Arabidopsis thaliana: one gene and its partners. The protein of the gene in region 1 interacts with the protein of each later gene in a pairwise test. Each region holds a gene or a part of one and is shown in the gene's direction. Other genes may lie near its edges. The genes, in order: PIP2A, NHL3, FER and RKL1.

Evidence for each region.
Region 2: the proteins of PIP2A (region 1) and NHL3 come close enough for resonance energy transfer, tested with the Arabidopsis thaliana proteins (one study listed by BioGRID).
Region 3: the proteins of PIP2A (region 1) and FER come close enough for resonance energy transfer, tested with the Arabidopsis thaliana proteins (one study listed by BioGRID).
Region 4: the proteins of PIP2A (region 1) and RKL1 come close enough for resonance energy transfer, tested with the Arabidopsis thaliana proteins (one study listed by BioGRID).

The regions. Positions count from the first base shown.
Region 1 is NC_003074.8:19,802,326-19,808,153, reverse strand, and holds PIP2A (plasma membrane intrinsic protein 2A), read left to right. Parts: upstream 1-2,423; 5' UTR 2,424-2,699; coding exon 2,700-3,006; intron 3,007-3,474; coding exon 3,475-3,770; intron 3,771-3,897; coding exon 3,898-4,038; intron 4,039-4,128; coding exon 4,129-4,248; 3' UTR 4,249-4,681; downstream 4,682-5,828. UniProt on the Arabidopsis thaliana protein: Water channel required to facilitate the transport of water across cell membrane. Probably involved in root water uptake. Its function is impaired by Hg(2+).
Region 2 is NC_003076.8:1,929,814-1,934,343, reverse strand, and holds NHL3 (NDR1/HIN1-like 3), read left to right. Parts: upstream 1-2,575; 5' UTR 2,576-2,632; coding exon 2,633-3,328; 3' UTR 3,329-3,548; downstream 3,549-4,530. Other genes in the region: AtPOT1b (Nucleic acid-binding, OB-fold-like protein), read right to left, coding at 3,549-3,752, 3,828-3,980, 4,079-4,137, 4,218-4,294, 4,387-4,530. UniProt on the Arabidopsis thaliana protein: Confers resistance to Pseudomonas syringae pv. tomato DC3000 (Pst DC3000).
Region 3 is NC_003074.8:19,116,063-19,123,199, reverse strand, and holds FER (Malectin/receptor-like protein kinase family protein), read left to right. Parts: upstream 1-2,250; 5' UTR 2,251-2,420; intron 2,421-2,595; 5' UTR 2,596-2,635; coding exon 2,636-5,323; 3' UTR 5,324-5,616; downstream 5,617-7,137. Other genes in the region: AT3G51560 (Disease resistance protein (TIR-NBS-LRR class) family), read left to right, coding at 1-685, 772-1,392; AT3G51540 (mucin-5AC-like protein), read right to left, coding at 5,990-6,328, 6,463-7,128. UniProt on the Arabidopsis thaliana protein: Receptor-like protein kinase that mediates the female control of male gamete delivery during fertilization, including growth cessation of compatible pollen tubes ensuring a reproductive isolation barriers, by regulating MLO7 subcellular polarization upon pollen tube perception in the female gametophyte synergids.
Region 4 is NC_003070.9:17,915,911-17,922,361, forward strand, and holds RKL1 (receptor-like kinase 1), read left to right. Parts: upstream 1-2,296; 5' UTR 2,297-2,564; coding exon 2,565-3,933; intron 3,934-4,234; coding exon 4,235-4,833; 3' UTR 4,834-5,206; downstream 5,207-6,451. Other genes in the region: GLN1;5 (glutamine synthetase 1;5), read left to right, coding at 1-16; AT1G48490 (Protein kinase superfamily protein), read right to left, coding at 6,435-6,451.

The DNA.
Region 1 (5,828 bases):
TGGTCGGATCTACGATGTTCTCATAGTTAAACCTGTTTTAATTACGTTTTAAAAATCTACCATAGTGAAATAAAAAACTAACATACTTTATATCCGCAGTTCAAATACGTATGGAGGACTAGAAGAGATTTGAAATATGGAGGACTAGAAGAGATTCAATAGAACATGACTTTATATGAATTTATTTGTCCTTTCCGGTACAATAAAATTTGGACTTCATATGACTTTTATATTTTACTCATTTAAGTAATCGGAAATTACAATATAGAAATTTTTGATCTGTAAATATCATGTAAAGTATATATCCAATTGATTATCATTTGAATGCATATTAAATTATTAATTATGAAGACAGATAAATCAATATATGTTTGTTGATCTTGCTGTAGTACATTCTGGACTAATTCTTTCAATTGGAGTGACTAAAAAGGACAAAATTTATGCATAACGACGTCATACTATATGTAACTCGATTTGTCTAGAATATTTAGATAAGGTTAAGACTAGTTTTCTATGAATAGAAGAAAGTGTAAAATATATAAATAAACATACTAATAACAATTAACAACAGAACCAGAACCAGAAAATTCACATTTCTGTGCTTTTATTATCTAAAATTCACTTCGAAAAACATGAGAAAAAAGAGTTGGCTGACGTGGAATATTCGTCTAATAGTAGCCGACCAACGTAGCCAAAACGATAAGGTTTGCCACATGGCAAAACGATAACCATGGAACTGCATCTCCTGTCTTTTGTTTGGTTGTCACAATTTGTCATTTTTATTGGGATTTATTGTTTTGTTATATTTTCGTTTTCAGTCTAATTGTCAGCAATTTTCGCAAAAGATATGAAATTTTGGATATGAAGAGAAAATGCAAATGATTGGTGGGGACAACAAACGTGGCATTATGTGAGTGGTTGAGCGAACAAACGGCTATATGCTGAGATGGATTGGACGGTGACGATACGTTTGTCGGAGGGATCGGGTCGGTTAGTCACGCGCGCCACCCATTCACGTGTCACCTTTTGCCAACACAGACCATATGATTTTAACCTCAGTGGAATCTCGACCCACCCCACAAAACGGCACCATAACTTTACACCCTGGTTTTAGAGAGTGATATACCAACACAACAATTATGAAAAAGGGTTCGTTTAGGCTTTGGTTACTTTATGTTAGTAATATCAACTTAAATGCTAATTTGAGTTATGTGTGATAAGATATACGACGAATCAATTTACTTATCGTCAATTAAGTTTGAAATGAAAGTTTGTGAACGAAATAGTTTATGCTTCTTTAATATTGTGTCATAATTTTGAGTTCCGGCTCTAACATCTTCAAGTAGGGTTTTGTTTTATGACACCTCAAACATACTTAATAACATATGTTGGTGATAGAAAACTAGACCTTCTAGACTACAAAAATGTTTATAATGTAAGAGAATGACCATATATCTATCTATTTTGAAAACAAAGTGTTTTGACTTTGGTGAACAAGAAAAATGTTCTCTATATATACAATGAGACACTCGAATATAACCATGCATGATTAGTTGGATTTGGAGTGAAGAAACTTAGCCATGCTTCGTTGGAGCAAAATAAGGTTTTGGAGTTTTGTTATGTGTTTTCAAGAATGTAAATGCTGATTCGATAAAAAAAAAAAGTGGACGTAAGTTATTTTAAAATGATTTGGCATACAAAAACTGTGGCTTTTTAAATCTGAAAAATCGACAGGCTATGATATTATACGACAAAAAGAAGAGAGCACCATATTGATGATATAGTATATTGGGTCGGTCCTAAAGAAAATGACATTTAGGTGATGGGGGCGGCGAGGCTAAGTTAAAGTAAACAAAAAAAACCTCCATTATTTACCAGAAAAACATATAAAAATTTGATTGACATAAAAACTAATAAATTATTTCAAAGTTGTGGTTCTGATAGCTCTCCACCATCACCACTGATTGATACTTCCTATTGCTACGAGAGATAAAACTATGCAAGTTTATATGAGTGGATATAAAGTCTTGTTTTATGATATCATAAGCTAGCTAATCCCATATCATTATCATGTATTTATAGACGCATGTTCAATAGATTTGGATCAATCTTTTTGTCATGGACTTGGTGCAAACTATAACGTTAAATAGAATAAACTATTCTAATTTAGGATCTAAAATAAACTCGAATCAAATTTTAAAGAAATTTACTGGCTAACTTATTTGAATTTTTCAAATTTCAACGATTGAAAAACTCTAAGTCTGAAATTAAACTAGGGTTCTTGTCTTTACGTATTAGTAACTATGTATGATATTGATATATCAAGCAATCATTAAATAGAATTGGTTCAAAATTTATTTCAGGACAGCTAGTTCATAATCATTTTGTCAAAGCTACTTCCCTCATAATAATAATAATCATAACTCACTCGTATACTTTTATATCCAATTTTTTCATTGAAAATACAAACTTTCATTCCAAAAAAAAACCTCAATACACAAAAAACCAAAAAAACATATAACGTTGGCAAAAATACTAAAAATATTTTTTAAAAGATAAAGCAATAAAAAAGTATACAAACAAATTAACAAGAAGGAGAGCTCTCACTATAAAACAGAGCACATGTTCTTCTCACTAACCACTCCAACAGAGAAGCAAAAGAAAAAAAAGCTATTGTTTGAAAGAAGAAGAAGTTAACTATGGCAAAGGATGTGGAAGCCGTTCCCGGAGAAGGATTTCAGACAAGAGACTATCAAGATCCGCCACCAGCTCCGTTTATTGATGGAGCGGAGCTAAAGAAGTGGTCTTTCTACAGAGCAGTTATCGCAGAGTTCGTAGCCACTCTCCTCTTCTTATACATCACCGTTTTGACAGTCATCGGTTACAAGATTCAGTCCGATACTGATGCCGGTGGCGTAGATTGCGGCGGAGTTGGAATCCTCGGTATCGCTTGGGCCTTTGGTGGTATGATCTTCATCCTCGTCTACTGCACCGCCGGTATCTCTGGTATGATCCTTCTTTAATCTTGATTTTGGTTTGGTTTAGATTAAGATTATACACTTTTTGAGTATTAGAATTACAATTAAACCGAATAAGCTGAATAAGTTTTACTTATGTAAGTACAACTTGCAAACTCAAAATTTAGACAAGTAAAAATTATATGGTATGGTTTTGGTTTGTTTATTCGAAATTAATTATTTTGCAAGGAAAAATATTGCTTGGTTGACATTACTATTTAATCGGTTTAAAATCTTAGGTTTAAAAGACGAAAATGATTTGTTTATAAAACATTTAATAAGGGTCATGATCAAATCGGTTCTTATCCGAATGATATATATCTAATCTAAGCCTAGTAATTATTTTAAGCAACTGACTAACCCTGTCTTAACCAGAATTGAAACCGGTTAATTAATTGCTTGTTGTACCTTAATTCTCAAGTACTGGTAACATTGTCAACTCTTTTTGTTTCCTTAGGTGGTCACATTAACCCAGCGGTGACATTTGGGCTATTCTTGGCACGTAAAGTGTCGTTACCTAGGGCCCTATTGTACATAATCGCTCAGTGTTTGGGTGCGATTTGTGGAGTTGGTTTTGTCAAAGCCTTCCAAAGCTCTTACTACACCCGTTACGGAGGTGGAGCCAACTCTCTAGCCGATGGCTACAGCACAGGGACCGGTCTAGCCGCAGAGATCATTGGTACTTTCGTTCTTGTCTACACCGTCTTCTCTGCCACTGACCCCAAACGTAGTGCCAGAGACTCCCACGTTCCGGTGAGTCACATATGTAGTGCTATTAATCTTCAATATGGTTAACCGACTCAAAACCGGAACCAAAGCAAACCAAACCAACATTTGATTTCAATCATACTAATAAATTTGAATTTTGATGAAATAAAAGGTGTTGGCGCCACTTCCAATCGGATTTGCCGTGTTCATGGTACATTTGGCTACCATTCCCATTACCGGAACCGGAATTAACCCGGCAAGGAGTTTCGGAGCTGCCGTAATCTACAACAAGAGCAAGCCATGGGATGACCACGTAAGACCTCAACGTTTCTCCATTACATTCAACTATATTTTTCATTTTTACAAGGGAATAATGTTTTGAAATTTTGGTGATTACAAACAGTGGATATTTTGGGTTGGACCATTCATTGGAGCTGCGATAGCTGCATTCTACCACCAATTCGTTCTGAGAGCTTCAGGTTCTAAGTCTCTTGGATCATTCAGAAGTGCTGCCAACGTCTAAACACATCAAACCAGATTTCTCAAGAATAAATGAAGTTGTGATCTCTCTGTACAAATCTAAATCAGTCACTTGCAGTTTTCATTTCCCTTTCTTATATTTGTGTTTTCCACTTGCTCTTTTGTGAATTTTCCTTCGGTGTAATTGTTTTTTCTTTCGCTTTTAAACGAGTGATTGGAATTATAATCAATGAAATCAAAGAGGTTCTTATGCGTTGTGTTTACATTAATACTAGTACTAAAGTTAGTTTCCTTAGAGAATAACAACACCATGGGGCCATGTTCTTGGTCTTGTTTACGTCCTCCTCAAGATGCTCAGTGAATAAGCAGGATTTTGGAGAAACACATGTCTCTGCTTTAACGCAATCATTATCTTTCTAGAAAAGACCATTCCTTTATGTCTTCATACATCTCAGGCGGATAAAGCCTAGCGTGCACCAGCAGTAAGTTTTAGTTACTCTCTGAAACCGCCATTGTCCATTAACCCCATATGCCTCAAAGGCTCACAGAAACTGTTACATTCAAGATTCAACATACTTAGTCGTTTGTTACTTGACAATTATGAATCATATAGGAAATGCTCGAACTTGGCTGAGGATTGAGAGTCTTACCCTTCAGAATCTGCATTTTTTATGAGAACGTGAAGAGGTGTGGCCGCTCAAAATTGGCCTCTTGGTGGCCTAGCCTCAGCCTCTGAGACTGCCTACCATCCAAATCCTTTAATTACGAAAGTAAAACATGTGTTAGATGTTTGATCATTTACTGTAAGAAGTACTAATCGAATAAATTGTTATGCGAAGAAGAGAAATGATGATACTACTGCACCATTCAAAGAATTGATGGAGTTTTGAACCTCTCGGGAAGAGCTGAGTGTCACAAACCCAGTAGATCAGATTTGATATCGAGAAAGTTTCTAAAGGGACCTCATACAGTAGTAAGAAAATGACGAATGTAGTGATACAATAGGCTGGGATGCTTACGAACGATTTATGTTGTTTACTCTGGAGATGCTTGGCGGACAATTCAAAGATTTGGCAAACAACATCGCATAATGTACAAGAAAAGGCATATTCACCCCATCTAATACACGTCTCCCGAAGCTTCCTCTGTTCATTAACCGTAGACGAGACCTTCCTGAACCCGTTGCATCTGTGTGGGAAACAAAAAGAAGAAGGAGAAAAACTTGTTGTGCTGGTAAATTATTTCACCTGTGAGTGAGAGGACAAAACACACCTTCTCGTAAGTCTTCTGGCCAGAGCCACCGTGCTGGAAATTTTGGAGGAAATGGACATGCCTGAAAAGTTGTGTCTCCCCTCCGACGTTTGTCCCACATTACAAACGTTTGATCAGGTAAATCCGACCTTGTTTATTATCGAACCTGTAACACAAGAGAGAAGCTTTAGAGAAAGATGGAGCTATCAGCGGAGAGAGGAGATCAACAGAATCTTCGAGCGCAAGTAATCGTTTTGAGTTGAAATAAATATAGGGTAAAACTGGTATTTTATATGGGCCGATACGTGTGGCCCTGTATCTTAGCCCACAAAGTTAGTTGACCTGCTTTTCTGATCATCTTCCTCCCACTCT
Region 2 (4,530 bases), on another chromosome or scaffold:
ATGATAAAAAGTAGAATCATGTTGCTTATTTTACAAGAAATAGGGTATTTTTCTCCAACGTTCGAATCCCACGAATATTCTATATTATGTATTTTTTGGGTTAATAATGAAGTCATCTTATAACCAACTGCTTCGACTAATTTTGCCTCTTTTGTTAAGAGATTTGTAGGCGTAATTCTCAATCTGGAATCCACTTTCTCCAAGAGAGAAAACTTGCGAAATGATTCATTACATGTGCTATTGTTATTATATTCGATATGTATATGTATTTCAGAAAGAAGTCCAATGTGAGAACATTCAAAATGTACATAAGAGCGAGGTCCAATTTGAGCATAACGTACGCAATTTGTTCGTTAGATTCGTCACCAACAAATATTTGATGTGTTTGTGAACGATTTTTTATGCAATTTTTTAATCTTAGTCCCATTTATCTACTAACTCCCACGTGTTTTGTTTCCTTTGTACATATACACGCTGCCGAATCCAGTTTGTATATAAACATAATTTTAATTGAAAATCTTCGAAACATTGTACTGAAAATTTGCCATACGTAATCTAGGTAATTGATCAGCATGATGAGAAACTTTACGCCCATCAATCCATGAATATACAATCCTAGTTTGGAACCGAAGTTATACTGTAAAAAAGCAGATGATAAAAACACACAATTGTCTACATAACCTTCCCTTTTTGCCTTTTTGAAGTCATACATTTTATTAAGCGTGTAAATGATCAAGACTTGAATATATACATAAAGATTCGATTTTGTTCATCTAGAGAAATTCATAACCAAAACATAGAATAAACATTCATAACCAAAGGATAACGTAAGTAAAATGAATCATGGAGTTGTATCATTGGTCCACTGGTTAACACGATACAGTTTCGACTTTCGAGTCGTATTGTATTCCAGATTTTAACAATGATTAACAACACAAAATTATGGTGACAACCACCAAATTAGAATTAGTAATAGATTACATGAAAAGTATACCCTATATGTTACTTCCTTAGATATATGTCCATTTAAACTTTAGTGGACATCTATTCAACGCAATTTCTCAATAATTTATTCGGATGAATATCGGAATTGAGTAGATAGGGATCGGTCGTCGGTTCCTCCATTTTCAAAACCCTAAGAACAACCAAAGTCTTCATCATTTATTTGTCCAATTCCAATGATCTATTTCGTCCAAACGGCTAAGATTGAAGGAGTCTTCGTGAAATATTTGTTGTCTAATTTAGTTTAATGTTTTATCACCACACACATTGACACCGCATTAAACTCTAACAAGTTTTTCAAACACGTTTGTTCATCACCAGGTTTTTCTTTAAAATTATTGTGTATTACTTATCATATACAATGAAAATTATTGTTATACCGTATAACACATAAAAATTTCTTAAACTACATTGACTACTTTAATAAATAAATAAAACACATTACATCTCATATTATAAGAATACTTTTTTTAGTTGTTACATTTGTTTTTATAAATCCTCCATAGTTGTTTTAAAGTTTAATATGATTGAGTTGCGATCTAGTATTATTATTCTTTATTAAATATGCTTGACCTTTCTCATTGAAGAAAGATGTAAACATTTGAAAGCATGGCTTCACCTAATCTTCCTTTCAATTACAGGTCACATCATCCAACTCTAAACACCAACCTCCCTTAGTTTTCCTTGCTTTTAGCATTATAACATTAACAAGTCTTTGCAATGTTTAATTTTCTTTGAATTTGAGAAATCTTTCACATTAAACATTTTCATTAATTGATAATTAATTAAATAACCTTTATCAGTAGAACTGTTCTCATAGTTATAAAATAAACATTTGGAAAACCCCACCTCAGTTTCAACTTGCAACCTATAGATCAAAGTTATTTCATTTCATCATGTTATATATATAATGTCGAAATTCTTGACCGGGACTGGTTTGTCTTTTTCTAACTTTGTATAGGCTTATTGATATTTTGGCCACATTTTCTATTTTTGTTCTCAAAAGTCTTTCGTCAAGTTTAAGAAACAATGGCTATATTAGAGCAGTCGCTTTTGGGGAAGTTTCTCGGAAGCTTAGTTACATTGTAAAAATGACTATTCACAATTCACAAACTAACTACCGCACTAAGTATCATCACATTCTCACATGTCTTATATAATAAAAGAATATATAAATAAATATCTACATATGGATATTCTTGTATGCGATCGGCACTAACCTCATTAATCACCAAATCATGTATATATGGATTCAAGAAATAATCTCATTAAGCTTAACCAAAGTATACATAGTCAAATTGAAGAAGAAACCATATAGTAAAATTTAAGAAACAATCTTTAATGTATATCAAACTGTTAATCCTAAATATCTAATAACAATCTCGCAAGTAACCTCTACTTAAATCAAATTTTCATCGAACAATATTAAACCGACGCGTCACCTTTGACTTTGAAAAAACAAAACCGCGTCAAATTAAATCGTTTTATCTAATACACGTTATCTCTACAGTGTATATATATTACGGCCTCTTCTTCTTCACTTCAAATCATATTTACTTTTTCAAAATCTTATCACAAACCAAAAAAAACTTTCTTTCAAAATCGTTCTCTGAGGCATTTTAACGAACAGATGGCGGACTTAAACGGTGCGTATTACGGACCATCGATTCCACCGCCGAAGAAAGTCTCTCACAGCCACGGCAGACGCGGCGGTGGATGCGGTTGTTTAGGTGACTGTCTTGGCTGCTGCGGCTGCTGTATCTTAAGCGTCATCTTCAACATCCTCATAACCATAGCCGTCTTATTAGGCATAGCTGCTCTAATCATCTGGCTCATTTTCAGACCCAACGCTATCAAATTCCACGTCACCGACGCTAAACTCACCGAATTCACACTCGACCCAACCAACAACCTCCGATACAATCTCGATCTCAATTTCACAATCCGTAACCCTAACCGCCGGATCGGTGTTTACTATGATGAAATCGAAGTCAGAGGATACTACGGTGATCAGCGATTCGGTATGAGTAACAACATCTCGAAGTTTTACCAGGGACATAAGAACACGACGGTGGTTGGAACTAAACTCGTGGGACAGCAATTGGTGCTGCTTGACGGCGGAGAGAGGAAGGATTTGAACGAGGATGTGAATTCTCAGATCTATAGGATCGATGCCAAGCTGAGACTTAAGATTAGGTTTAAGTTTGGGTTGATCAAGTCGTGGAGGTTCAAGCCCAAGATCAAGTGCGATCTCAAGGTTCCTCTTACCTCTAATTCAACCAGCGGGTTTGTTTTTCAGCCGACCAAGTGTGACGTTGACTTTTGATTGCTAGTCAAGAGTCAATGCTATTATAGTCTTCTTCGAGTTCATCATATTACACTTGTTTATTGATTCTTATTTTAGATTGTTTTGCTTTATTATCTTCCATACATATCGTTGGAGAGAGATATTTTTCTTATGTAATGTTTTATTGTATGGTTCCATGTAAATAAATAATCACATTTTGTTTAATGCTAATAACTATACAATTAGCATTATGATTGTCTCATGAAGCATTGATCCAAGTATCAAAAATGCGGAATCTTCTGCTTTCCCACTGATCCATTTTGTGTTTGTAGAATGAGAACAAGCAACATTGTACCCATGGAGGATTTCTTGGCACTTTCTCCATCTCTTCACCTCCCAACAATCTATTCAGCTTCTTGACTAGAGCCTCTTCATCAGATTCGTCACACCCGAAAAACTTTTCCTGTAAAAAGATATACAGATATAAGTATTAGACAATCCTTCAATGAACACTAATAATTAATCGTGTTTTACTTACCCCTTCATCAGCATATAGAGAAGCATGGATTCTGGCGGTTGCATCTTCTAGTATAGCTACCAATTTGATATTTCCGTTGATATCACGGAGTTTTCTGACGTCTCGGGGATACACTTGTATGAACCGAACAACACACCTGAATTTAGCAGTCACCTGCATAATAAGCATCAGTAAAACATCAATTCAAGAAAGTTTTCACTATACTCTTTTCCTACAACTTATGATAAATCCAAGGTTTTTGGATACATTACATTGTGATAGGTCAGGATGTCCATCAGAGAAACAAATGGAGCATCGTCATGGGCAACCCCTAGAAAAGATTAAACCATAAGTATTATATTAAACGTTATGTCAAATTTCCACAATTCCAAACAATTAGCTGGTTATTACCTGTGATTTCAGAATGTGAACGACTAATGCAACGCGCGATTGGGTTCCATCTCGGTGAAAACTTCTCCCCACACATTCTGAAATGGTAAGAAAGTGTGTTTTAAACTGAAGAACAAACGGACGAAGCAGAACATCAACTCACAGGATAAGAAAAGGTGTCAGCAGAAACCTTTGAGGACTAAAGGCTTCCATCTCTCTGCTCATTGTGTACTGCATCTTTGTAGAGGGAGTAAAAGTGGCGTTCCATAATCCCATATTTACTTGAAAGAAAAGGTTCAGAAGCTTCACGTGTTGACCAGGTTGAAGACAGTGA
Region 3 (7,137 bases), 690 kb from region 1:
GTTAATCAAGCATCTCTCAGAACTTGTAGTTTTAGATTTACAGAATTGCAAAAGGCTTCAACATCTTCCAATGGAGATTAGTAACTTAAAATCTCTTGTCACACTTAAGCTAACGGATCCATCTGGGATGTCCATAAGAGAAGTATCAACATCAATTATCCAGAATGGTATATCAGAAATTGGCATCAGTAATTTGAATTATCTTCTCTTGACTTTCAATGAGAATGCAGAGCAGCGTAGAGAATATTTGCCTCGACCAAGGCTGCCATCTTCAAGTTTACATGGCTTGGTCCCAAGATTTTATGCCCTAGTATCTTTATCCCTCTTCAATGCATCCTTGATGCATATACCGGAAGAGATTTGTTCCTTGCCTTCAGTAGTGCTGTTGGATCTTGGTCGGAATGGTTTCAGCAAAATCCCTGAAAGCATAAAGCAGTTATCTAAACTACATAGCCTTAGATTAAGACATTGTAGAAACCTCATATTGCTTCCGGCGCTTCCCCAAAGCCTGAAACTGTTGAACGTGCATGGTTGTGTGTCTCTAGAGTCAGTTTCTTGGGGATTTGAGCAGTTTCCTAGTCATTACACCTTCAGCGATTGCTTCAATAAGTCTCCAAAAGTGGCTAGAAAACGAGTTGTAAAAGGCCTGGCTAAAGTAGCAAGCATTGGCAACGAACATCAGCAGGTAACTCTCTCGTTCTCATGTCCCTTCTTTCTCACTCATACATACTTTAGCGTATATGTAATTTTCCTTTTTCTTGTTGGGACCAGGAACTCATCAAAGCACTTGCATTCAGCATTTGCGGGCCTGCAGGAGCAGATCAGGCAACCTCTTATAATTTGCGGGCAGGTTCATTTGCAACGATAGAGATAACTCCTTCCCTGCGAAAGACACTCTTGGGGTTTGCTATCTTCGTTGTAGTATCGTTTTCGGATGATAGTCACAACAACGCTGGGCTTGGCGTTAGGTGCGTAAGCAGATGGAAGACAAAGAAAAGGGTGGTCACTGGTAAAGCAGAGAAAGTGTTTAGGTGTTGGGCTCCGAGAGAAGCTCCTGAGGTTCAAAGGGATCACATGTTTGTGTTTTATGAGGATGCCGAAATGCATCGAGGTGGTGGTGAGGGAAACAAACCAAATATAATGGCTGATCACGTTGAATTTGAATTCCAAGCAGTAAATGGAAGAAACAAGGTCTTAGGCGGTAATTGCATGGTGACAGAATGTGATGTTTGTGTTATAACAGCTGCAACTGGTGCGGCGAGTCTGAGTGTAACAAATGCAAGTAAGGATATGAGTTTAAGTAAGAATCATTCTCCGAAGCTTTCAAGTGTGATTGGTAAGCTTCGATTTAAGCGAGTTGGTAGGTTTGGTGGTTGTGTTTGCCTAGAGTGAAGAAAAGTTAAGAGTGGGAACTGGGAAGAGTGTATGTATGTGACTCGTCTCATGCGTGCCCAAATGCGAAGTAGCAGAAACATGTATGTTTGAAATGTAATTTTTATTATTTAAAATTGGCATAAACAAAAAAAAATGTGTTGTCTGAAAGAGAATTAATGATATGTTAATGTAAATATTTAGTGCATGTTTGATGTAATGGTTTAAAGTTTTATTTTATTTTGAAAGACTGAGAAAACAAGGATCACAAACTCTGTTTTGAATCAAGAAGGTGTAGACCAAAAAAATTGCACACGTTCGGCCTTAACCACGGTTTATTTGTATTCAAGGTTACTTGGATTTGACATCGGAGATCAAGGTTACTCCTTACCTTAGACATGATCGATCAAAAGGAGGCTACGCCGATTGTCATAAACATATATCATGTGCACGTTAGATAAGGCCCACTTATAACTGGGCCATAGGAGATAAACTGAAATCAGAGTAAAAAGCCCATGATTACGTAAACTATCCTAACTAACTAACGAGTTATTATCAAAGCAGGCCCCATTCTTTCCCTTTATAGTATAATATAGAGTACCAGCTCAGCCACGAGCAGTCACCACCGCACACAAAAATACGCGTTTCATAAAATTCTCTTGTCTTTTCTTTAGTTTAATGGATTTACTCTCTCACATTTTATGAACTGTCATCCAAACCATACCAATCAACATTATCCTTCGAATGGTCAAGACATATATAATTCCAGCTGTTGATACTCAAAGGTCATTATCGTCACTTCACCCACCTTCAAGCCGGCTTCAATTAATTAAACCCGATAACTATATCTTAATTTAATCTTATTGAAATTAAAATAACGTTAACGCGTAGAGGGAAGCAACAATGCTTGTCCGTTTTGTCGTCGTCTTGACTATACTTACCTCTCCACTCATTAATTGATTTTCTCTCTCTCTCCCCCAAAATATCTCTGTCTTCTCCAAAAACTCTCTCCGATTTCATCGCTTAGGGTTTCTTCCCCGATTCTTCAGGTATGTAATCATCATCATCATCTTCCTCACTTCACTCTCCCTTACTACTGTATTCAAACTTCAATTTCATCTGTTTCTTAAGCTCAATTTTCGTAACCAAACGAACATGTACCTCTAGCACTTTCCATTTTTAGATCTGTGAAGTTTATAGTTTCGATTTTCTTTCGTTTGATAGATCTGAGAAGAAGATCTTCCCGGAGAAGTGCTCTTGATCGATGAAGATCACAGAGGGACGATTCCGTCTCTCTCTTCTTCTTCTTCTTCTTCTCATATCTGCAGCAACTTTAATCTCAGCTGCTGATTACTCTCCAACAGAGAAAATCCTATTGAATTGCGGTGGTGGTGCTTCTAATCTAACCGACACAGATAACCGTATATGGATCTCCGATGTCAAATCAAAATTCTTATCATCTTCCTCTGAAGACTCTAAAACATCACCAGCGTTAACACAAGATCCTTCCGTTCCCGAAGTTCCTTACATGACGGCGAGAGTTTTCCGATCTCCTTTCACTTACACTTTCCCTGTAGCATCAGGTCGTAAATTCGTGCGTCTCTACTTCTACCCAAACTCGTACGACGGTCTCAACGCTACCAACTCGTTATTCTCCGTCTCCTTTGGTCCTTACACTCTTCTCAAGAATTTCAGTGCTTCTCAGACGGCGGAGGCGTTGACTTACGCTTTCATCATCAAGGAGTTTGTTGTCAACGTTGAAGGTGGAACGTTGAACATGACGTTTACACCGGAATCAGCTCCGTCTAATGCGTATGCGTTTGTTAATGGGATTGAGGTTACTTCAATGCCTGATATGTATAGTAGTACTGATGGGACTTTGACTATGGTTGGATCATCTGGCTCTGTTACTATTGATAACAGTACTGCTCTTGAGAATGTGTATAGGCTCAATGTTGGAGGGAATGATATCTCGCCTTCCGCGGATACGGGTTTGTATAGGTCGTGGTATGATGATCAGCCTTATATATTTGGTGCAGGACTTGGTATTCCAGAGACTGCTGATCCCAACATGACGATTAAGTATCCTACGGGGACTCCTACTTATGTTGCTCCTGTGGATGTTTATTCAACCGCGAGGTCTATGGGTCCAACAGCTCAGATCAATCTCAACTACAATCTTACTTGGATTTTCAGCATTGACTCTGGTTTCACTTACCTTGTTAGACTTCATTTCTGTGAGGTTTCTTCGAATATCACTAAGATCAACCAACGGGTGTTTACAATCTACCTCAACAATCAAACTGCTGAGCCTGAAGCTGATGTGATTGCTTGGACTAGTTCAAACGGGGTTCCGTTTCACAAGGATTACGTGGTGAATCCTCCAGAGGGAAATGGACAGCAAGATTTGTGGCTTGCTCTTCATCCTAACCCAGTTAACAAGCCGGAGTATTATGATTCTCTTCTTAATGGAGTGGAGATATTCAAGATGAATACTTCTGATGGTAATCTGGCTGGTACCAATCCTATACCTGGTCCACAGGTGACTGCTGATCCATCTAAAGTCCTACGCCCGACTACTAGGAAATCGAAAAGCAATACGGCTATTATTGCAGGCGCAGCCAGTGGTGCAGTTGTTCTGGCCCTTATCATTGGGTTTTGTGTGTTTGGTGCTTACCGCAGACGTAAGCGTGGTGATTACCAGCCTGCTAGTGATGCAACATCAGGGTGGCTTCCACTATCTCTGTATGGAAACTCACATTCTGCTGGCTCGGCGAAGACAAACACAACAGGAAGTTATGCCTCGTCCCTTCCGTCAAATCTTTGCCGTCACTTCTCGTTTGCTGAGATCAAAGCTGCCACTAAAAACTTTGATGAGTCCCGGGTGCTTGGTGTTGGTGGTTTCGGCAAGGTTTACAGAGGAGAGATTGATGGCGGAACTACAAAGGTAGCCATCAAGAGAGGCAACCCAATGTCCGAGCAAGGTGTACATGAGTTCCAGACTGAGATTGAAATGCTTTCAAAGCTTAGACATCGTCATCTTGTGTCCTTGATTGGATACTGTGAAGAGAACTGCGAAATGATCTTAGTCTATGATTACATGGCTCATGGTACAATGAGGGAGCATCTCTACAAAACCCAGAATCCTTCTCTTCCATGGAAGCAACGTCTTGAGATATGCATTGGAGCAGCCCGAGGTTTACACTATCTACACACTGGTGCAAAACACACAATCATCCATAGAGATGTGAAGACAACAAACATTCTATTGGATGAGAAATGGGTGGCCAAGGTCTCTGATTTTGGTCTATCGAAGACTGGTCCTACACTAGACCACACACACGTAAGCACAGTTGTGAAAGGAAGTTTCGGTTATCTTGACCCAGAGTATTTCAGACGGCAGCAACTGACTGAGAAATCCGATGTCTACTCCTTTGGCGTTGTTCTATTCGAAGCTCTATGCGCTCGTCCAGCCTTGAACCCAACACTTGCAAAGGAACAAGTGAGCTTAGCTGAGTGGGCACCATACTGCTACAAGAAAGGCATGCTAGATCAAATCGTTGATCCCTACCTCAAGGGCAAGATCACACCAGAATGCTTCAAAAAGTTTGCTGAAACCGCGATGAAGTGTGTTCTAGACCAGGGCATTGAGAGACCATCAATGGGAGATGTTCTGTGGAACTTAGAATTTGCGTTGCAGCTCCAGGAAAGCGCAGAAGAGAACGGAAAAGGAGTATGCGGTGACATGGACATGGATGAGATTAAGTACGATGATGGAAACTGTAAAGGAAAGAACGACAAGAGTTCTGATGTGTATGAAGGGAATGTGACGGACTCGAGGAGCAGTGGAATAGATATGAGCATCGGTGGTAGGAGTTTGGCCAGCGAAGATTCAGATGGACTCACTCCAAGTGCTGTGTTTTCTCAGATCATGAATCCAAAGGGACGTTAGAGAAGTCTTATAACACGGTACAACACTACTACCTTTCTAAACCGGCTCCATCCAAAGGAGACCGGTTCGTTTCTCTTTTTTATATTTTTTTTCCTCTTAACTATTTATTATTATTCTCTTTGCTGTTATTTATTTAGAATTTTGGATTTGTGTATTTGATGCCACGATGGAGAGTGTAAAAAATAATGTATTTTTTTTTCTTCTTTCTACAAAAACATTAAACATGAATCGCGTCAATGTACTATTTGGTTTGTTATCTATAACGTTTTTGGTAATTGTTGCATCTTTACTCTATTACACGTCGTACTCTTATGAACAAACTAGTACCCATTTATTACAAAGTCGTACTCTTATGAACATAAACGGAAGTACATCAATCACTTCTCTGTTTTACTATATAGACGCATTTTAACGGAATCCTACCAATAGTGTCTTTTCTTGCAAATATTTTGATTTAAACAAGAAGGGTCAAAGTTGTATATTTCTGCTGATCAATACAAACAAACACTTTGAAAGAAAAAAACAACGAGTAGAAGAACTATGTGTAATGTTTTTCTCTTGATTGCATAAGAATTTAAAAAGAGTGAAACAGGATTATTTTTCCAAGCAGCTCTCTTGTTTTTAACTACAACAAACAGGAAAGAAAACTCAAAAGGAGTCAGAGTCTCAGAGAGGAGAGAATAGATCAGGAGGAGAGTCAAAAGCATTGTCGAAGATGAGAGATTGAGGAGATTCATCATCAATGTTAAGTAGCCAGTTTGTATCCTTGACATCTTTAACATTCAAGAGTGCGTCGTAACGAGCACTATCGTTCTTGTTCTCTGTGTTGTTCCCTTCTTTCGTTAAGCTTCTTCCATCTTCCTCTTCATGGTTGCTGCTGCTGCAGCTGCCTTCACTACTACCACACGGTTTTCTTAGACCCGAAGAAGAAGATCTGATGCTGTGTGGATACAACATTGGGCTTGAAAACGTATGTGTACTAACTTTACCATTTCGTGCCAAGTCCTGCATTTGAAGTGACACTATTATCGTCAAGCAAAACCTCATAAAAAACGTTACTATACTATTGACCACGATAAACGTTATAAATGACAAAAATATTTAGCTATAATCAAATAATGACAAGAGAACGTTATTACCAAGTGATTGATAGCCATTTGAACAGAAGCTCTTGACAACTTCCTTCCTGGCCTAGTTGAATCGGCAACAGTGGCAGATGGCTTTATAGACTTGGGAGTTGTTGTTGTATGTGAGGTGCCTGAAAAAGTCGGAATCAGAGAAGGAGAAGCAGAGCGTCCTTTAGGCCTCGTTCTTGTAACATCCGGTGAGGTGTTTCGTTTTGGCGAGTTAACATGACCCACTGGTCTACCAAACGCTAGAGTGACTGTTTCTTTTAGTCTTGGCGGTGTCCGAGGTGTTGCTGAAACTGTTGTGCTTCTATCAGGACGTGATGTTACAGACGAAGAACGCACATTGGTCCTACTACTTGCATTTGCTGCAATCTGAGGCTTTGCTCTTGGAGTCAACGATCTTGATCTTTGAGCATCTCCAGCTGTTTTGAAGGAAGGAGTGGTTGAAGTAGTTGTACTGATTCTTGAAGGAGTTGAGGTTGGTGATGGTGTTTTGCGTGATGAGGGAGTCAAAGATCGAGAGACAGTTCTTTTTGGAGAAGAAACCGAAGCTGAAGCTTGAATTTGTGTTGTTGTTGTCTTCTTGGGGACCGAAGAGGATCTGATAGTGGGAATGTTGGAGGGACGAATTGTTGAACCGCTTCTCGTTGGTCTTGAAGATGGATCACTCTCGCTCTACATGAA
Region 4 (6,451 bases), on another chromosome or scaffold:
AACCACCATCCTCTAAGCTTTAGACTTTTCTTCGTTTTGGTTCTTTGTATGTTCTTCGAATTTCGGTTTGATATGGTTTAATTTCGCATTTAGACTTTTCTTTCAAATAAGTTACGAAATGTTATGTGATTTCTATTGTTTGATCCGGTTACGGTTCACTTTTAAGCCAAAAAATCTACCGTTATGACTCGAATAATTTGTAACCATCATCCTCGGCTAAGCTTTTTAGTTACATTTGAAGTCATTCAGTGAAGGGCGTTTGCATTGTACCATAGCATCCATATTAGATTATGTTTGAATAAGGGCATTGACCAGGAAAAAAACAATTGAACGGGCCTGACTTTATTAGCCCATATATCAAATTTACCGTCCGTTATTGTTCTTTTACTTTTCTAGTTACGTGTTGGTCCAAAAGAAAGGATTGAGAAACAAGAAACTTGTATACATATCTAGAAGTTAGAACCCATTTCGTTTCAAGCCTAATTAACCTCTACCGTTATGACTTGAATTCGAAGCCGTGTCTATGCAAAAGTTGACCAAAACATTGATTTTTCTTTTCTTATATTCAAGATTCAAGCTATGTCATAGAAGCTACCCTAAAGCTACATGCCTACATTATGCAGTTTTCGTCCATTGATGATTGATCTGTAACGTTTAATTATCAGGTTATAAGCATACACACATTTTTTCCTCGTCTATGATACGGTGAAAGCATTAATATAAGCTATAAGATTATATATCTCGTAGTCGAATGTATAAGTATTTTTTTGTTTTTACTGAACGATGTATATATTATACTTGGATTAATATGGGCTTATAGAGGGATCTAATTAAGAATTAGACGTATCTTGTGGTCAGGTAAAGTCAGTAGATACGTTCACGAAATTCATGTAAAATATATAACTAAATAAACTACTTGATTGGTCCACCTGCACGCATATACTCAACTACATATATGTATATATATGTTCATGCATGTTACGTATAGTTTATTATTGTAAGCCGGTATTTTCTTCATCACAGAAATAAATCAATATAGACGCCAAGAAAAACAAAACCAACTAGAAAAAGTCATTTAATATTTGAATCTTTTACGAGAAAAATAGAATTATAAGTTTCTCGAAACTATCTAACAGAAATTCTCTCCGACCAATGAAGAATAATCAATCTTTTTGGGTATTTGCTCTGGTCTTTCACGAGCAAATGAAACTTATAATTAATGGTAGTATTTGGTGAGAAGAAAAGGAGCCAAACCACATGAAAGAAAAAAAATGTAAATATTAATTGTAGTTGTCGTTTCGTTTCGTGTAACGCCCAACCATGTATCGCAGCACGTTACAGCTTCCTTTTGTTGCTGTATGTGTAAATGATCTAACCTAATACCATACTATTGCAAAGAAATAAAACTATTCCTTTGTCATATACTACTAAATTCTAGGAATAGTTGACACATAACCATAAACTTAAAAGAATTTGTAGATTTCTTACCTCCAAACGGAGTAGGACATGTAGTACATCTTAAAACTAACAGAAAATAAAAACGTTACAAATCATGATCTTGGCCCCTTATAGATAGTCATGATAGTTATCGACAAATAACGTCTAAGCATGCATGCATATTATTGACAAATTACACTTGAGAAAGTTGTATATTTTGAGATCAAATATTTGATAATATGCGCATGCACAACTTATATGGCATCTAACAAATGGTCCCGGACTATAGTAAAGGATGATACATATTATAGGGCCAATGTCGAGAATTTCTTAGATACAAAACAAAACTAAAGGAGGTCTTGTTTACAGAGTGGCCGAGACAGACACAAAACGAAGAAGATTTATTCCAAAAACTTTAATGTAATCAAATGTGGTTGTGAATTTGTGATCATCTTCTAACATGTTACGGTCCTACCAACTCTCTACCCACCCTTTTTCTCCTTTTTTAATTCTATATTAATATTATCAACAACTTCAATCTTATTATACTCCATAACTTAATTCTCTATGTTCCTTAATAATCCATTTTCTAGAGAACAAATGGTTAAGAAAATGTATATTTTTTTAATGTTGTGTATGCATTTTTATCAGGTATTGATGATGAATCGTAAATTTCAAAATAAAATAAAATAAATACTATTGGTTAAGAATTATAGAAAATTGTAATTTCCAAAAAATATATTTATAATCAATTTTTAATATGTTTTTTCTTATGTGTCAAAAATCTAAAAAAATAGATTAATTAGGAACATATAACTAGGGTTCTCAATTATCTAGGAGTCTTTATGCTAATTACAGAATTTAGATTAATATTAGTCTGTTATTTTACTACTTAAAACTGATATTTTAATTCCATTTACTGACAGTAAAAAAAACAGAACAGAAAAAAAACAATGAAAGATGGAAAAAAGGAGAAGAAGAGGATTAGGCTGTTGACTGCTTTCACTCCTTTTACAGCTCTCTTCTTCTCTCTTTAATAATAAAGTTTTCATTTTTATACCTTTCTCTCTCTCTCTCTCTCTCTTCTTCTTCTTCTTCTTCTTCGTCTTCTTCTCTGAATAGTCACAATGCGAGTCTTCTTCTTCCCCAACTCGTCCATGGCGATTCTCTCTGTTTTCCTCTCCCTCCTTCTCCTCTCTCTCCCTCTTCCATCAACTCAAGATCTCAACGCCGACAGAACCGCTCTTCTCTCTCTCCGCTCCGCCGTCGGAGGCCGTACATTTCGCTGGAACATCAAACAAACCTCGCCGTGTAACTGGGCCGGTGTCAAATGCGAGAGTAACAGAGTCACCGCTCTCCGCTTACCCGGCGTTGCTCTCTCCGGTGACATTCCAGAGGGTATTTTCGGTAACTTAACTCAGCTCCGTACACTTAGCCTTCGTCTCAATGCTCTCTCTGGCTCACTCCCTAAAGATCTCAGTACCTCTTCCAATCTCCGACACCTTTACTTACAAGGAAACAGATTCTCCGGCGAGATACCTGAAGTTTTGTTCAGTCTCAGTCACCTCGTGAGGCTTAATCTCGCTTCCAACAGCTTCACCGGAGAAATCTCTTCAGGTTTCACGAACCTCACGAAGCTAAAGACTCTGTTTCTAGAGAATAATCAACTCTCTGGTTCAATCCCTGACTTAGATTTACCTTTGGTTCAATTCAACGTTTCGAATAACTCGTTGAACGGTTCTATACCTAAGAATCTTCAGAGGTTTGAGTCTGATTCGTTTCTACAGACTTCACTTTGTGGCAAACCGCTTAAACTTTGTCCTGATGAAGAAACTGTACCTAGTCAGCCTACTTCTGGTGGAAACAGAACACCACCGAGTGTTGAAGGAAGTGAAGAGAAGAAGAAAAAGAACAAACTTTCCGGTGGAGCTATTGCCGGAATTGTGATCGGATGTGTGGTTGGTTTCGCTTTGATTGTTTTGATACTAATGGTGCTCTGTCGGAAAAAGAGTAATAAGAGATCAAGAGCTGTTGATATCTCAACAATCAAACAGCAAGAACCTGAAATTCCTGGAGATAAAGAAGCGGTGGATAATGGTAATGTCTACTCGGTGTCTGCTGCTGCAGCTGCGGCGATGACTGGAAACGGAAAAGCCAGTGAAGGGAACGGTCCAGCGACGAAGAAGCTTGTGTTCTTTGGTAACGCGACTAAGGTTTTTGATCTTGAAGACTTGTTGAGAGCTTCTGCGGAGGTTCTTGGGAAAGGAACGTTTGGGACGGCGTATAAGGCAGTGCTTGACGCGGTGACGGTTGTGGCGGTGAAGAGGTTGAAGGATGTGATGATGGCTGATAAAGAGTTTAAGGAGAAGATTGAGTTGGTTGGTGCGATGGATCATGAGAACTTGGTGCCATTGAGAGCTTACTATTTCAGCAGAGATGAGAAACTTCTTGTCTATGACTTCATGCCTATGGGAAGCTTATCAGCTCTCTTACATGGTGAGTTCATATCGAAACTTGTGCTTAGATTGAGTTTGGTTTCTTTTGAGGCAAGTCAATGCTTTTAGTGCCTATAGATAGGCTTGAATACATTTAGATTATGGTTAAGTTTAGTGCTTAATCTCTTTGATCATTGATTCTTAACATTGATATGATTTCCATAATACTTTGTATAGTTTCTGTGAATTGGTAGGGACAATGTGTTTAACATTGGATGCTTTGATCTATGAACAATGATTACTACTCTAAGACTTTGGTTTGTTCTCTTTAGTTTCTATAATTGTCTTTTGTCTGTTAACAGGAAACAGAGGAGCGGGAAGGAGTCCACTAAACTGGGATGTTAGATCAAGAATTGCTATTGGTGCAGCTCGTGGTCTAGACTACCTTCACTCACAAGGCACTTCAACATCTCACGGCAACATCAAATCCTCAAACATCCTCTTAACGAAATCCCACGACGCTAAAGTCTCAGACTTTGGCTTAGCCCAGCTCGTGGGATCATCAGCAACAAATCCAAACCGCGCTACGGGTTACCGTGCTCCAGAAGTAACCGATCCGAAACGCGTGTCGCAGAAGGGTGACGTGTACAGTTTCGGAGTGGTGTTGCTTGAGCTGATCACGGGTAAAGCTCCTTCGAACTCGGTGATGAACGAGGAAGGAGTTGATTTGCCGAGATGGGTTAAATCGGTGGCGAGAGATGAGTGGAGGAGAGAAGTTTTCGACTCGGAGTTGCTTAGTTTGGCGACGGATGAAGAAGAGATGATGGCGGAGATGGTGCAGCTAGGGCTTGAGTGTACGTCACAGCATCCGGACCAGAGGCCGGAGATGTCGGAAGTGGTTAGGAAGATGGAGAATTTGCGACCTTATTCTGGTTCAGACCAAGTGAACGAAGCTGATTAAGTCAAAGATTCTTAATTGTTAATTTATTTAATTTGAATGAAATGGTTGGGGAGAAATCAGGTTTATAATTTTAATTTCTAATTTTTGACACAACTTGTCAAAAAGGAGAAGGGGTTTTATTATTAGTGGGTGACTCTGCTGGCATTTGCAGTTGTTTGTGTTGGGCGTGAAGGGATTTGGTGGTGATTTGTAATTATTGTTGTTGCTTCCCTTTCTTAAATCTATTTTCTAAATTGTTACGTATCTTTTTGTCTCTTATGTTACATGTGAGTGTGACTTTTATATCGTAATATAAAGTTGTATACTGTGGTGGCAAACGCAGTTGGTCAGTGTTTTATGAAAAAGATGTGTTCAGTTTTTCGAACAAATACAAAATTGTTTTGATATACAATATTTTTTGGTTGGCCACTTGTGGAATGCCTTTTCCCGGCAGTGTGTTTTGATCATTTGAAATGAGAAAGGTTAGTGTTAATTTATACTAATTTAAATTGCAGTTTAATTTGTTCATTTTTATGTTGTTTCGGTTCCGTATATTTTGCACTTGTTTAGCTTATTATGGTAGATGGAAGTTATATGTAAGAACATGTCATATCAATATAAGAACATGCTTATTATTATCTCTTGCTATCAAAGTGACCCACATCTAATTTAGTTTTGATGGAGAGACAGCTAAATATACCAAAAATAAACACTCAACACATGATTTATGAAAATGAATTGAATGAATACAGAATACCTAATTTGCTATTATGTAAATGTGGACAACTCTTTTAATATTGGGTTGTCAACCATTTTGAATAATTCTTTTTGGTTCACAAAAACCACTATGACTTTTTTTTTTGGCTTGCAAACATTGACAGCTTTAAGAGTAAAGCATTTAATGCTAAAGGTATAAATAGGTGAGAATGGGTGGAACTGCAACAGTACTAAGGCTGCTATAATTGTATGACTCTTTTAGAGAGGTCCCAAAGGTACACATGATAGAGAGGGACCATAAAGAGATATTGGTTTCAAGAGAGAAGACGACATTAAGATAGTGATGATTCTATTTTATGTGCGTTGTCTCTTTACCTACATTTACGGTTGATGCGGCTGCTAATTGCCAATACAAACGCAAACCGCAATCGCTAACTATACATCAGTTTAGCAACATTGGTGTATGTCCCATTAATATGATAGGTTTAAAACTTTGGTTGGAAAAGGTATCACTCGTTGAGAATCTAATGAAAATATGTGACAGAGACAAATTGTCAATATATATAATAAATAATGCACTTTCACTCAGTATACTTGGACAACATTTCACAACCCTTCTATGAAGGTGGAACGCAAAAGCCTAAGAGACCATGTCCCATATATGCTGAACCACAAATCCAAACAAATATCAAACCGCAAAACACCAATAACCGCATTTGCAGATGCGTTTATGCGTCCAAATAAATGTTTTTTTTCTTTTCTTTTCCTCTGTTTTTCTTCATGTCTCTGCATCAGAAAGAGTAAACTCAAAACAAAATCAGTTTGCTATATAGATATCACAAATTTAGTAATTAATAAAGAATGACTTACATGTACAGAATAAACAAGTAAAATTCATTTGTTTGTTATCTTCGCTGCAAAC